Regions from separate parts of the Mus musculus genome. Here all the other regions are reported to be linked to region 1. Evidence: microRNA targets listed by miRTarBase, many of them from high-throughput screens and not tested one by one. Region 1 holds a microRNA gene; each other region holds the end of a gene's coding sequence.

Region 1 (4,066 bases):
TCCGTGTCCGGATCTATGGAATACAAGTCCGCGGCAAGCTGGAGGGTGGCTTGGCAAGAGCACACACCCCAGCCACAGCCTAGGTTAAACAAGGATGCGGCCAACCACGCCCCCTACATACAATAATCCCCCTTGGTTCAGGCACGTGTCCCGGCAGAGGCCACGCCCACACGCCGAGGGCGCAGGCGCGCCTGCGTCACTGTCCAGCCGGCTAGATCTGGTTCCGCCCCAGTCCCGACTCGCTGCTGTGAAGCGTCCTGGGTCTCGGCAGTTCGCGCCAACAACTCCCCGCTGCCTACGAGCGAGGTCAGTGCGTGGCCAGGCGCGGGCGGCGCCAGGTGACCCCGAGGCATCGGTGGTGGCCTCGCTCTGTAGCCACGCGAGGTCGTCCAGGTGTCCCTTCGCACCGCTGCCTGCCTTCCCACCCCTGAGCCCATAGCCTGGGCCCCGCTCATAGTCTTATTAGACTTTGAGTCTTAGGCTTTGAGACCGCTTGCCAGGTTAACATGCCAGGTTAACTTGCCAGGTTAACATGGACACCCAGGAGGACCCTCCTGGGTGTCCGCGGTGTGTGCAGAGCCCTGACCCAAAAAACTGCTTGTGAACAGTGGGAGGGGCATAACAACAAACTTTATGGCACTTAATGAAGTCCCTGTGTAATGTTGATTTCATTCTTGCCTGCTCCACTAGCCTGGGTTTTTGTGTTTTGTTTTGTTTTTTTCCACCTCCCAAGAGGCAGACTTTGTTGCAGGCCTTCTCAATTGCTCCCAGGTCAGCCTTCCTGCAGGAACTCCTTAAAGTCTGTGGGGAAGGTGGTATAGTTAGGGTCTGGAGGTGAGAACTTGGCAGGCTGTGCTCACAGGCTGACACTCGCAGGAGAAATAGGATCGCAGGCTGCTCAGCTAATGTGGAAGCCTGGTGGCTGATAGTCTTTGACAGTACATAATTGTTTGTTTGGTTTTTTTTTTTTCCCTGGGAGACCCCATTTTCTGCCCAGTTGTAGCTGCTTGCACCCGCACCTTGGATGACTCCCACACTTTGCTTAGTGGGCTTTTCAAGCTTTAGAAATCCGCTCTGCATTATAATAGCAAGATCAGCACAAAAAGTAGGAACTATAGAGGATCCTGCGAGTGTTGTTTGTGCCCCAGTGTTTGTTCTGGTCATCTCTGCCCTCGTTGGCTCAGAGCTGTCTTCACATTTCTGCTGTTTTAAAAAAAGGGGGGTGGGGAGTTTTGGATTGCTAGGGAGTCACTTACCCAGGTGAGCAGAGACATCTGACCTTGCTTGCAGGGTGGTTGCTGGGCCCGTTGTAGCAGGAGAAATGGCCTTTCCTTGGCCACAGCAAGAAAGCTTCCATGACCTTAATGTCACTTGGGGGTCCACTAGGCAGTTTGGGATGTGTGAACACAGCTGCTCTACCAGAGGAAGCCAAAATCAAAAGCATTTTGATTACCGGCACACTCAAATAGAATTGGGAGTGGGGCACGTGGAAACCAGGCTAGAACAAGCATCCCTGGGTGGTGGGCATGCCGGGAAGCTCTAGAGAAGGGGATGTGGGTACCTGGCCCTGGCTAGAAAGAAGGCCTCCAGCTAGGGCGAAGGAGGCAGACTGCAGCTGAAATGAGACTGAGTCTCGCTCGGCTCAGGGACGCAGCGCAGGCTCTGCACAGTACACAGGTTCTTGTGTCAGCAGGCTTTTCCTGGCCTGGGAATGCTCAGTTATAGATGCAAGCCCCTCCCTCTCCTTCACTTCAGGGTCTCCTACTGCAGGGGTCTGATTAGAGACCTCCCCATCTCCCCCGCTGCAGGGCCCTCTTCCCTGCCTGTTGGCTGCTTTCTGCCATTTCTGAGTAGACCTAGGTGGGAGCTTGTTGTGTGTGTCGCCCTCACGCCCGTGATTCAGGTGGCAGGGGCTGACTCTGTCCTTGCTCTTGGACCAGGAGCTTCACTGATGGCCGAGTTGGGCTTCCCACTTAAACTTGTGCCAGAGCTGCTGGGACCAGTTCCTGTGATCTGCAGGCAAAGGGACGGAAGTTTTATCTTCTGGAGCCAGCCCCTCAGCCTAGTCAAGGAAATCTGCACCCTGTTCAAGCTCCTGGGGTCTGTCTGCTCCTGTGTTGGAACTGGGGACATGTGAGATAGCAGTGGGAGAGGTTAGACCTAGAAAACCCATGGGACCTTCATAACCTTGTTGGTGGGGCCAGTCAGCCTGAGTCAGGTGAGCTGAGGCCAGAGAGCCAAGAAAACCGATGTATAGTCGGGGACTCACAGCCTAGAGGCCTTGTGGTCTGTGCTGGAGTCTGTGAGAAAGTTAATTCTCTGGGCAGCCTGAGGTCAAGACTTAGGCTTTAGCCTGTGTTTAACCCCCAAGTAAGTGACACAGGGTGTTTCTGCCGTGACTGCAGAAGGACCTGTGGCCTGGACAGAGCCTGGGCTTGGTGGCGGTGACAACATCACCTCTGGGGATTCGTGTGTCCTGTGGCAGCTGGTGATGGCCCAGTCTCCTGTTTCTCAGGGATACATCAGATCTGCTGCTCACTTCCGCCATTCAGGTCACTGAGGAGGCAGGGTGCCGCATCTGTCATCTTTGTCTTTTTCAAGCATGGGGCTTAAGTGACATTTTGTGCATTTGAAAAGTCATATCTAGAAGGGGATCCCTAGGTGGGTGTGACCCTTGCCTTGGCACCAAGGTGGTGAGAGCACAGCTGTGCAGAGCTGGACGGGGTGGCCACTATCCCTGTCCTCCAGGAGCTCACGTATGCCTGCCTGTGAGCGCCTCGGCGACAGAGCCGGTGTCCACCCCTGCACTGTCCACAGACCCTTGCCTGCAGACCAGGGTGCTCAGTCGCTGGCTGTTCATGCTGTACCTTCTTGAACTCGATTGTGCAGATCTGCAGGTTGTTCCGTGGATGGAGGGGACTCTGGTTTCTCTGTGCGGTGACGCAAGGCACTGACCCCTCTGGGGTCCTAATCATCTTAACCTACGCAGACACTGAGGGGGAGGGGAGAGGAGCCAGGAGGGAGCCTTCCAGGTCTCTCCCTCTGTGTGTGTCCTCTGTAGCACCAGTTGATTCTACTGCGTGTGACCTATGTCCTGGCAGTTGGTGTCCCTGGGTCACTTCTACATCCACTGTGTTTCAGTAATTACCTCCAAATAAAAAGCTTCCTTTAAAACAAACTCTCTCCCCTCTCTTCATTATGTTGTTGTGCTTTTGCTTTGTCTTCTGGAAATCTTGCTACCGAGTGAGTGCATAGCCGGGCAGCAGTCTGCTGAGGTCTGTGAACCGGAATGGGCTCTCAAGGTCGAACACCTCTGTGGGACCCTGGACTCGGGCTGGCTCCAACTGAATGGAGGAGGGCTGATTCTGGGCTGGGGAATGAGAACAGAGTCCACTGGCCTTGGCACCCAGCTCGTCAGCCTCAGCAGGCTTCGTGGTCTCCCCCCACAAACATCGCTGTCACTTGTAGGCCATTCCCAATGTCTGGGGAACAGGTATAGGGGTGGTAGGGACCAGAGACCATGCCCCAGCCTTGGAGGCACCACCTGGGTATGTGATAGACAGGCCAGGTGCTGGGCTCCATCGACCATCTGCTGTGCCCTTGGGACTCTGTCCTGTGTGAAGCGGGTCAAATGACTGGATTCCCTGCCACTCAGCTGCGCCCCCAGTACAGCTGCTCTGGTCACATGATGGGGTGGGGACAACAGAGGGTCCTTCTACCCTCACCTGTGTTCATCCTTACACCTGACTCAGTCATTCCAAGAAAGAAGGTCCTACAGAGCTGTGTGTCTGGCACTGGCTACCAGGGCCTCTACTGCCAAGGTCTACAACTAACCTTTGAGGGGTTTTTGTTTATGTTTGAGACAGACTTGCTAAGCTCAAGCTAGCCTTGGACTTTCAATCCTCAGGACATATTCACCAACCTCCTCCACAATTCCAAGAACGTTTGAACAAGATGTTTTTGAGCCCAGTGGATGCTCAAAAACGCTGGGCATTGACTGCCTCCCCAGGACAGCACAAATCCCTATTAAGAGAATATCCCCAGTCATACTGCCCCAGCACAGGTG
Region 2 (4,066 bases), not on the chromosome of region 1:
TACATGACTAGACTTCACCAGAAAAATAAAACTTGACATTCTCAGCAAGGGGACGGGATAAAGACCTTGACAAAGAAAACTTTAGAACATTCAAGAAAGACACCAAAGACACTCGAAGATGGGAAGACCTCCATTCTTAGGGGCTGGAAGAATTAATATTGTGAAAATAGCAATCTTGGGATGGGTAACCCAGTTTGGGACTGCCTAATATTCCTGAGGCCCTAGGTCTGTTTACCACTCTATAAACTCGCATGGTGCACATGCATAGCCCCAACATTTTATGAGAGGCTGGGGCAGGAGGATTAGGACTTGGGAGGCCATCCTTGACTACTGAGTGACTTTGAGGCCAGACTGAGATACAGTCTGGGAGGGAGGGAAGAACCATATATATCAGATATAACCAGATTCAATGTAATTGCATCAAAATTCAAAAACCATTCTTAGAAATAACATAAATTTCTGAGTTCGAGGCCAGCCTGGTCTACAGAGTGAGTTCCAGGACAGCCAGGGCTACAGAGAGAAACCCTGTCTGGAAAAAAAAAAAACAATCAATCAATCAAAACTAGAAAAACAAATTTCAGAAGTGCAAAAGATCCTTGACAGCCAAAGTAATCTTGAACAAAAGGAATAAACGTGGGAGGTCAGCACCTTACAGAGCGTGAAGTTTGTCATGGTCGTCATAGCAGTCAGCTCAGTATTAGCATTAAGCAGATGTAGACTAATGGGGCAAAATAAAAGACTGAGCTAGGACCTCGTATCACTGGAGCTACAAAGATGCCAGAAATGCACAAATGGAGCTGCGAAGCCTGGCCACCCACCTAGTCAAGAACGAAACTAGATCTTTATCTTGCCCTGCACACAAATATATCAGTTCCAAATAGACCTTCATGTGAAACTCAAACCTGTTACGGAAAAGTAGGGAAAATATTTCCAGAAATAGGCACTTTGTGAACAGGACCCCTGCAGCTCAGGTGACAAGGCCAGCAAGGGATAAATCAGACCTCATGAAGCTAAAAGGCCTCTGTACAGCAAAGGGAGCGTGACTTGGGTGGAGAGAGCCAACAGGATTAAAGAAACTGTCAGAGCTGAGAGGGTTAATATCTAGAATACACAACGAACTTTTAAAAAGTGAGCCATAACAGATGAAATAAATACAAATGGCTACAAAACATGAAAACTGTTCATCTCATTATGCATCAGAGCAATGCAGGTCAGACATCTCACTTCAGTTACAAAGTCAGTCATTAAGAAAACAGCAAACGCTGGCCTGGATGTGGGCAAAGGGAACTCTTACACACTGCTGTGTGTAAGAATCTAAACTAGTGTGACTTGTACAGAAATCAGTATGGAAGTTTCTCATAGAAAGAGACCTGCTGTGTACCTGTGCTACCCAGGGGTGCGAGTCAGACCATCTGAGACACCTGCTCATCCGTGAGCGCTGCAGCAATAATCACAATAGCTAAGCTATGCAACCAGCCTAGGTGTCCAACACCAGACAGGAAATAGAGATAGGGATAACAAAACAGCACACTCACTGGACTGACTCCTTTCCCTTTCCCTTTCCTCTTCTCTCTCTCTCTCTCTCTCTCTCTCTCTCTCTCTCTCTCTGCCTTCCTTCCTTCCTTCCTTCCTTCCTCCCTTCCTTCCTTCCCTTTTTTTGGTTTTTTGAGACAGGGTTTCTCTGGGTAGCCCTGGCTGTCCTGGAACTCACTCTGTAGACCAGGCTGGCCTCGAACTCAGAAATCTGCCTGCCTCTGCCTCCCAAGTGCTGGGATTAAAGGCGTGTGCCACCACTACCCAGCTTTGACTTTCTTCAGTTATTAAAATTAACAAAGTTTTGTACATTTGTGAAAAAACAAGTGCAACTGGAGATAATACCTTAAATTAAGCGAATCTCAGAAGGCAAGTGTCTCATGTTTTTCTCATTTTTGGCTCCTAAGTTTCATATAGTCACATAAAATGAGGTACATAGACAATAAAATAGAAGTGATGGGGATGGAAGGAGATTAAGATGGGAGAGAGAAAGGGCAGACAGGGAGGAGGAGGTAATGCTCAACGCACAATGTTTATCTGTTCATTTTAAAGGCAATTCATCAGGCCCAGAGCTAAGTGAACGTGACAGCTTTATAAGGGAGTTTTACTCATATCTGGGGAGATCTCCAGTGCACCTCCTATGGTTTCAGCTTTTAGTTTCTATAACAGAAAAAATTTCCTTCTAAACTTGGAAAATGAAGTTGACCTGCACCTCATGCCTTTTTCATAAGTCAGAGGTGGCCAGACGGTGGTGGTGGTGCGATAGTGGTGGCTTGATGGTGGTGGCGCACGCCTTTAATCCCCCACACTCTGGAGGCAGAGGCAGGCAGATCTCTTGAGTTTGAGGCCAGGCTGGTCTACAGAGGGAGCTCCAGGACAGCCAGGGCTACACAGAGAAACCAAAAGTCAAAGGTAAGCACAAGGTCTCTTCCTAGCTCTTCCTGGAATTGGGGCACCGCCTGAGCAGTGCAACCCCAGCCGACATCTGCAGTCTGAGTGCCTTCTTCCCATGCCACACCAGAGCCAAGCAGCAACTCTCCTTGTTGGCTGCTCTCCAACAGGCTCACCTCAGCTTGGAATGGTACCCGGTGAGGCTACTGGAAAAGTAACAGGACCAGGGGAGAGGACTCGGGGGAATTCTTCCTGATTGCTAAAGTTGGCACTACATAGGATACACCAAACATCCTTCCACACTCACCCACTTTCTACAGTAAGAGCAGGACCTGGGACCATCTTAAGACTACCAGCCTTCTCCCTCAGGCCTCTTCCATAAGAATTGGGCCAGTGGCCTCCAATAAGCCAAACTAAGAGCAGATTTGAGAAGGTAGGATGAATAGGGATGGGGGTGGTACACAACTTTAATCCCAGCCCTGGGAGTTGGGGGACAGAGGCAAGTGGATTCTTGAGTTTAAGGCCAGCTTGGTCTACAGAGTGAGTTCCAGTATAGCTGGGGCAACACAGAGAAACCCTGTCTTGAAAAACAAAAGAAAAAGCCAGATTTGGGGCTGGTGCTATTATGCCTGGTCCCCAAACCTCCAGAACCACTTCCGAAACCAGGGACGTCCGAGACTCAGAAGACCTGTACATGGTTCTTCTACTGTGAACTCTGACCCACTCTTCAGTCATTTATTTTACATCGTTTAGTGTTCCTGTACAACTCCATATTTCACTCCTTAAGAGCTAATCACTCCCTGGGAAACAAATACAAGGTAGCCCTCCACCAGGTCTTAGCGGCGGATCCCGTGCACTGCAATCCCCACCCAGGAAGGTGTGGTAGTCGGTCTGATCAGGCTGCCCAAGCCAGCAGCCCTACCAGCATCAGGAGCTCTTGGATTTCCGCTCTTTTCTGGCCCGAGAGGCCATGATTCTGAAGAAGAGCCCGGGAGCCAGAGTTCTGATGTAGACAGCCATGGATGGCACAAAGTCTGTCAGGAGAACATCTTTTTTCTTCTTCCCCACAGCATCAAAGACATCCTGGGCCACCTCTGCAGCGCTTCGGCCCTGGGCTGTGTTCTTGTCTAGAGCTACAGTAAACAAAAGAAAAGGAACCTAAACCGGGTGTGGTGGCGCACGCCTTTAATCCCAGCACTTGGGAAGAAGAGGCAGGTGGGTTTCTGAGTTCGAGGCGCCAGCCTGGACTACAGAGTGAGTTCCAGTACAGCCAGGGCTATACAGAGAAACCCTGTCTCGAAAAACCAAAAAAAAAAAAAAAAAAAAAAAGGATAAACAAGGAGGCATGAGGCCAACCAGCTCTTAGAGCTCCTCCGGACAGGGAGGATATTACACTGAGAAAGTGAGAAACGTTTATGGTTCAGAGCAGGGAAATGGGGACAAAAGAGATACAGACAAGATAATAGACTGGGTATACCAGTTAGTGTGTGGAACCAAAGGGAATGTGTCTGTTTGGTGCTCTGTGGCAGATGCCGAAACCCAGCACAGGGAGGCCTCAAAGTGGGCTCCAGGCCCATGTAAAGAAGATTGCGGGCTGGAGAGATGACAACAGTTAGGTGCAGTGGAGAACTCGGAGGTCCTG
Region 3 (4,066 bases), not on the chromosome of region 1:
GATCAAGGCTCAATATTTACTTTTGAGTCTGAACTTAAAAAGGGGGGGACCCATTCCCCATTAGGCCAGGATCTCATTGCTTTGTCAGGATCTTGTAGCTTTGTCAGGTTCTCATCAGGACAACAAGTGCAGGCTGCTCAGCAGGTAGTGGCTTCTTGCAGAAAGCTGCATAGGTAGCAGACAATAGACTTTACCTAGTTTGAAAGACGCCACCTTAGGTGCGCTAGGCTGTGGCAAAAACAAGGTCTGAATCAGCCCACTCAAGGTTGGGGGGAAGGGCACAGTTCCTCCCTTTTTATTTATTAAGATTTAGCTGGACTGCGGCATTAGATTTACTTATGTTTCATGGTCCTGCCTGGGAATTATGGTGGCTGGTGGCCGTGCCTTGCTTAGGACTGACTCTATTATACTCTCTCTTTCCCGTCCTGGAGGCCAGATGCAGCTTGTTTGTGTTTATTTGCACAAACATGGCCTTTTAGTGTTTATCATGAAAAAATATGGCTGCTGGGCACATGCCTCTGTCTTAGCTTGATAGGAGTCATAGCATCATCAGTGGCCTGTCTTATGGCTGCCGGCCCTCATAGCACGCCTTTTTTTCCCCATTCAGACCAAAGCCACAATATGCACTCAATGCATCTCTTCATAAATAACTGCCATGACTGGTCTTTGCTGAAGGTGAGCCTGTATGTAGGTAACCTATCTGCTTGAAATACAAAGTCAAAAGTTAAAAGCCACAGGATTAAGGTTGACTGTGGGGATGTCCCAGGTATGCAAATTAGCAACAATCAGATCCAAGGTCTGGCCTCCCACTGTGGGGGAGGTGTCTTTGAGAATGAACAGGAAAAAAAAAAAAACTGTGACTTCTCAGGTAATATTGGTAAGAACTGGGTAAGCTGGCGAATAAAGATTATTAGCTCTCTTCATAATTGGAATCTCCAATATTGGATTTATTTCTAGGCCACACCATGATTGAGTCAAAATAACTGGTCACATTAAAGGAAAGAGAACAGTCATTATAACTCCTCTCCTTTTGATCAATTTTTCTAAGTCAGTTTCCACAGTCTCTATGTTCTCTGTCCCACAAGATGTAGAAGCTTGAAGCAAGGCAGCCAAGGTTGTCTAATCTGGGACATAGGCAAGCAAAGGTGGGTCAAGAACATACACCCAATACATCTTTCCTGTTACCATTGTCAGGGCACTCAGCAAGCTCACAGGTCAGCATTATCCTTTTGTGTCAGCAACTGATCAAAGAAGAAATAGTAGGGGAGAATTTGGCTAGAAAGGAAAGTATAAGGTTTGTGTTGCTAGTGAGACACTCCAGTGAATATGTTTAATAAATACGGGGAAAAATCTAAGTACAATATTGGAAATATTGTCAAGAGAGAAATCTTTAGCCATATAGTAAAGAAATTGAGGCTCTATTTGAGTATATTTTTAACCCGAAAAGTGATGAACTATGTGTAACAATTTTCAGTATTTTTTAGGCGATAGACAATAACAAAAATCAATTGCAACAGCATTTTAAAATAATTTTATAAAAATATTGCATATAAATAGCATTTAATGCTGAAATTTCATAGGCATCTCTTATCTAAGCCACAGCAAGGTGTGTGTCTCCTCTCTGCAAATTTGAAGGTTAGCTTGACACTAACTTTTTGTGGCATTTTTCCTTGTTATGACACTGAGTGGTATATTAAAAGTTAATTAAATAAATTGAAGATGAGAACACAGAAAGGGTTTAGTTTTATTTTTAGATTATTAACTTCATTTACAATTTGAAGTCAATTCTGAGACTGGTGGATTAAAATTGGAGAAGAAAACCATGTGAGGCAAAGAATTTTAATAATCCTTCATCCAAGTCTATAGCACTTGGAAAATAGACAACTTAAAATTTTGGGGTTGGGGCAAATCTTAGCATCTTACAGGAAGTTTCCTGGTCTTTAACAAAAGACACCACAGTAAAATCGACTCTCTTAGCAGTCTGCTTAGCTGAATGGCTGACTAGTTAAGAGCAGATACTGAGTTAGTTTTCTTTCTCTGGTGGGAGAGTTACAAGAACATTTCCCAGTTGTGACATTTAGAGCATGTCCTACTTCAACCTAATTTTCTTACACACATTAATCTCAGTTGCTAAGATGCATTCTTATACCCAGCTCTGCTAACCACATGGCCTAATTTATGTCTGTGGTAAATTTCATAACTGGAGGAACATAGAAGATGATGGTAATATGTTTAAAGGTGCTGCTATATAATTACGAAAGAATGAATTTTATCTTGGCCATGATTCCAAATTGCTAAAATATGGATTTAAAAGAAAAAAAACCAACATTTTCATATTTTAATATTTAAGAATGTTAAAAGCCCAGTTAAAGTTCCATGCAGCGTAATTTAGGTCTTTATATAAGATAAGCTTGTATTTGTCATAATCGCCACTTATATCCTCATTATCCAAGAGTAAAACTCAGTTATTCTGTTGGTTAAAGATACTTTTATTCATTAAATAATATGTATGAACGAGTGGGCAACATGCAAAGGTCACACCCACGTGTGCCTTATTCTCTCCTGAACTGGGTAGATAATTCATAATGGGTTTGCATTATCCTTTCAATTAGCTTTAATAGATATATGATCTTCACCAGGCGTGGTGGCACACGCCTTTAGTCCCAGCACTTGGGAGGCAGAGGCAGGCAGATTTCTGAGTTCGAGGCCAGCCTGGTCTACAAAGTGAGTTCCAGGGCAGCCAGAGCTACACAGAGAAACCCTGTCTTGAAAAACCAAATATATATATATAAAATATCTTCATCATTAGGTTATGGTAAGCCGTCAAGTTAACAAAAGTGCTGACATACCCCATTCATTTGAAATGTTTACATTTATCTTCTAAAATAAGTGAAATAAATGTACTGACTTGGACAATAGGCATTAAGTATATGCGGCATCATTCTGTACACTTGGTCATCGCAGCAATTCACACAGCCACTATGTCCTTCCCACCCTTGCTGGGAGAATTAGACAGTAGATACTGATACCATCAACTGAGTGCCCTTACAAACAAGAAGTGTGATGTATACAGATAATTATATCAAATAAAAATGATAGAAAACATGAATAATCACACAGTGTTGCCTTTAAGCATAGGACACGGAGCATATGGCAACTATCTTTCCCGTCATAGCCTGAGTGTCCGATGCTTAAAGGCAACACTGTGTGATAGGGATGCTCAGAGGTACCATATTTAGACATAAAAAGGAAGAGTGTCAGCTAGAACAGGAACTCAAGCATCCTTGCTACATAGTTACTAAAGCACACTGTTTTTAATTAGCATCCTTGCTACATAGTTACTAAAGCACACTGTTTTTAATTATTCCCATTAGTTCTGCCCGCAACCCCTCTGAGGCCAGCCCACCTGCGCTGGTAGAAAGCTTTCTGTGAGACAATGGTCCCAAGGCAATCTTGCAAATGCAAACGCACAACAATATATTACTGTTTCAAGGCTTTTGTCATTCATAAGCATGAATAGTAAACTGAATAGCAAATCACAGAGTCATATTTCCATACGTTTTCAAAAACGACAAGCTGGACAAGAAATGGATCATTTGGTGCAACAGATTTTTTTTTTTCTAGAGAGGTTTGAGAGCAGTGCAGATACAGTTCGCTAGTATCTTTTCTTCTTTTTACACTTGCGGCACTTTTGGCTTCCTTCGTTTCCTCTCTTGTCTTCTGAGCTACTGTCGCTGTCGCTGTCTGGCCTTTGCCTCTTCCGTTTATTCCTAGGATACAGGTCAGGGTCGCTTGGTGGCTGGTGAGTCCACTCATAGGAGCTGGGTCCAGCCTCTGGGCCTGGAGAGTGATTTAAGGCGCAAGACCCAGGCACACTGTTGGGAAGTGGGGCTGGCATCTCACAGAAAGGCGGTTGCAGCACTGGACTGTGTGCGTACCATGGCTGTGAAGAGAAGACACTTGTGAACACACACTCACCATGCTGAGGCACCTCACATGTGCTTTCAGGCAGACGTGCCTAGCTGGTCTGGGTGTAACACAGCGAGTGGGCTGTACAGGGTTAGGG

Evidence for each region. Region 1 holds the annotated microRNA mmu-miR-339-5p (UCCCUGUCCUCCAGGAGCUCACG, at 2,735-2,757, shown strand). A microRNA usually pairs through its seed, bases 2 to 8, with sites in the 3' UTR of a target mRNA and lowers its output. Matches are read on the target gene's strand: a 7mer-m8 pairs with bases 2 to 8, a 7mer-A1 pairs with bases 2 to 7 and ends in A, and an 8mer does both.
Region 2: miRTarBase lists Dhrs7b as a target of mmu-miR-339-5p. Seed matches in the 3' UTR shown: 7mer-m8 at 3,000-3,006.
Region 3: the mRNA of Rbm11 is a reported target of mmu-miR-339-5p. Seed matches in the 3' UTR shown: 7mer-m8 at 2,760-2,766.

Annotation. Positions count from the first base shown.
Region 1 is chr5:139,368,399-139,372,464 of GRCm38, reverse strand. It overlaps Mir339 (microRNA 339), which reads left to right and starts at 2,720; the gene lies at 2,720-2,815. All of the region lies in intron 2 of 3110082I17Rik (RIKEN cDNA 3110082I17 gene), which reads left to right.
Region 2 is chr11:60,857,209-60,861,274 of GRCm38, reverse strand. Dhrs7b (dehydrogenase/reductase (SDR family) member 7B) reads right to left here. Exons shown (of 7, transcript NM_145428.2): 7 at 2,852-3,557. The coding sequence ends at 3,352. Among named protein-coding and RNA genes, the nearest start is that of Tmem11, 20 kb to the left of the region's middle.
Region 3 is chr16:75,600,490-75,604,555 of GRCm38, reverse strand. It overlaps Rbm11 (RNA binding motif protein 11), which reads right to left. Exons shown (of 5, transcript NM_198302.2): 5 at 1,731-3,943. The coding sequence ends at 3,656. Among named protein-coding and RNA genes, the nearest start is that of Rbm11, 9.6 kb to the right of the region's middle.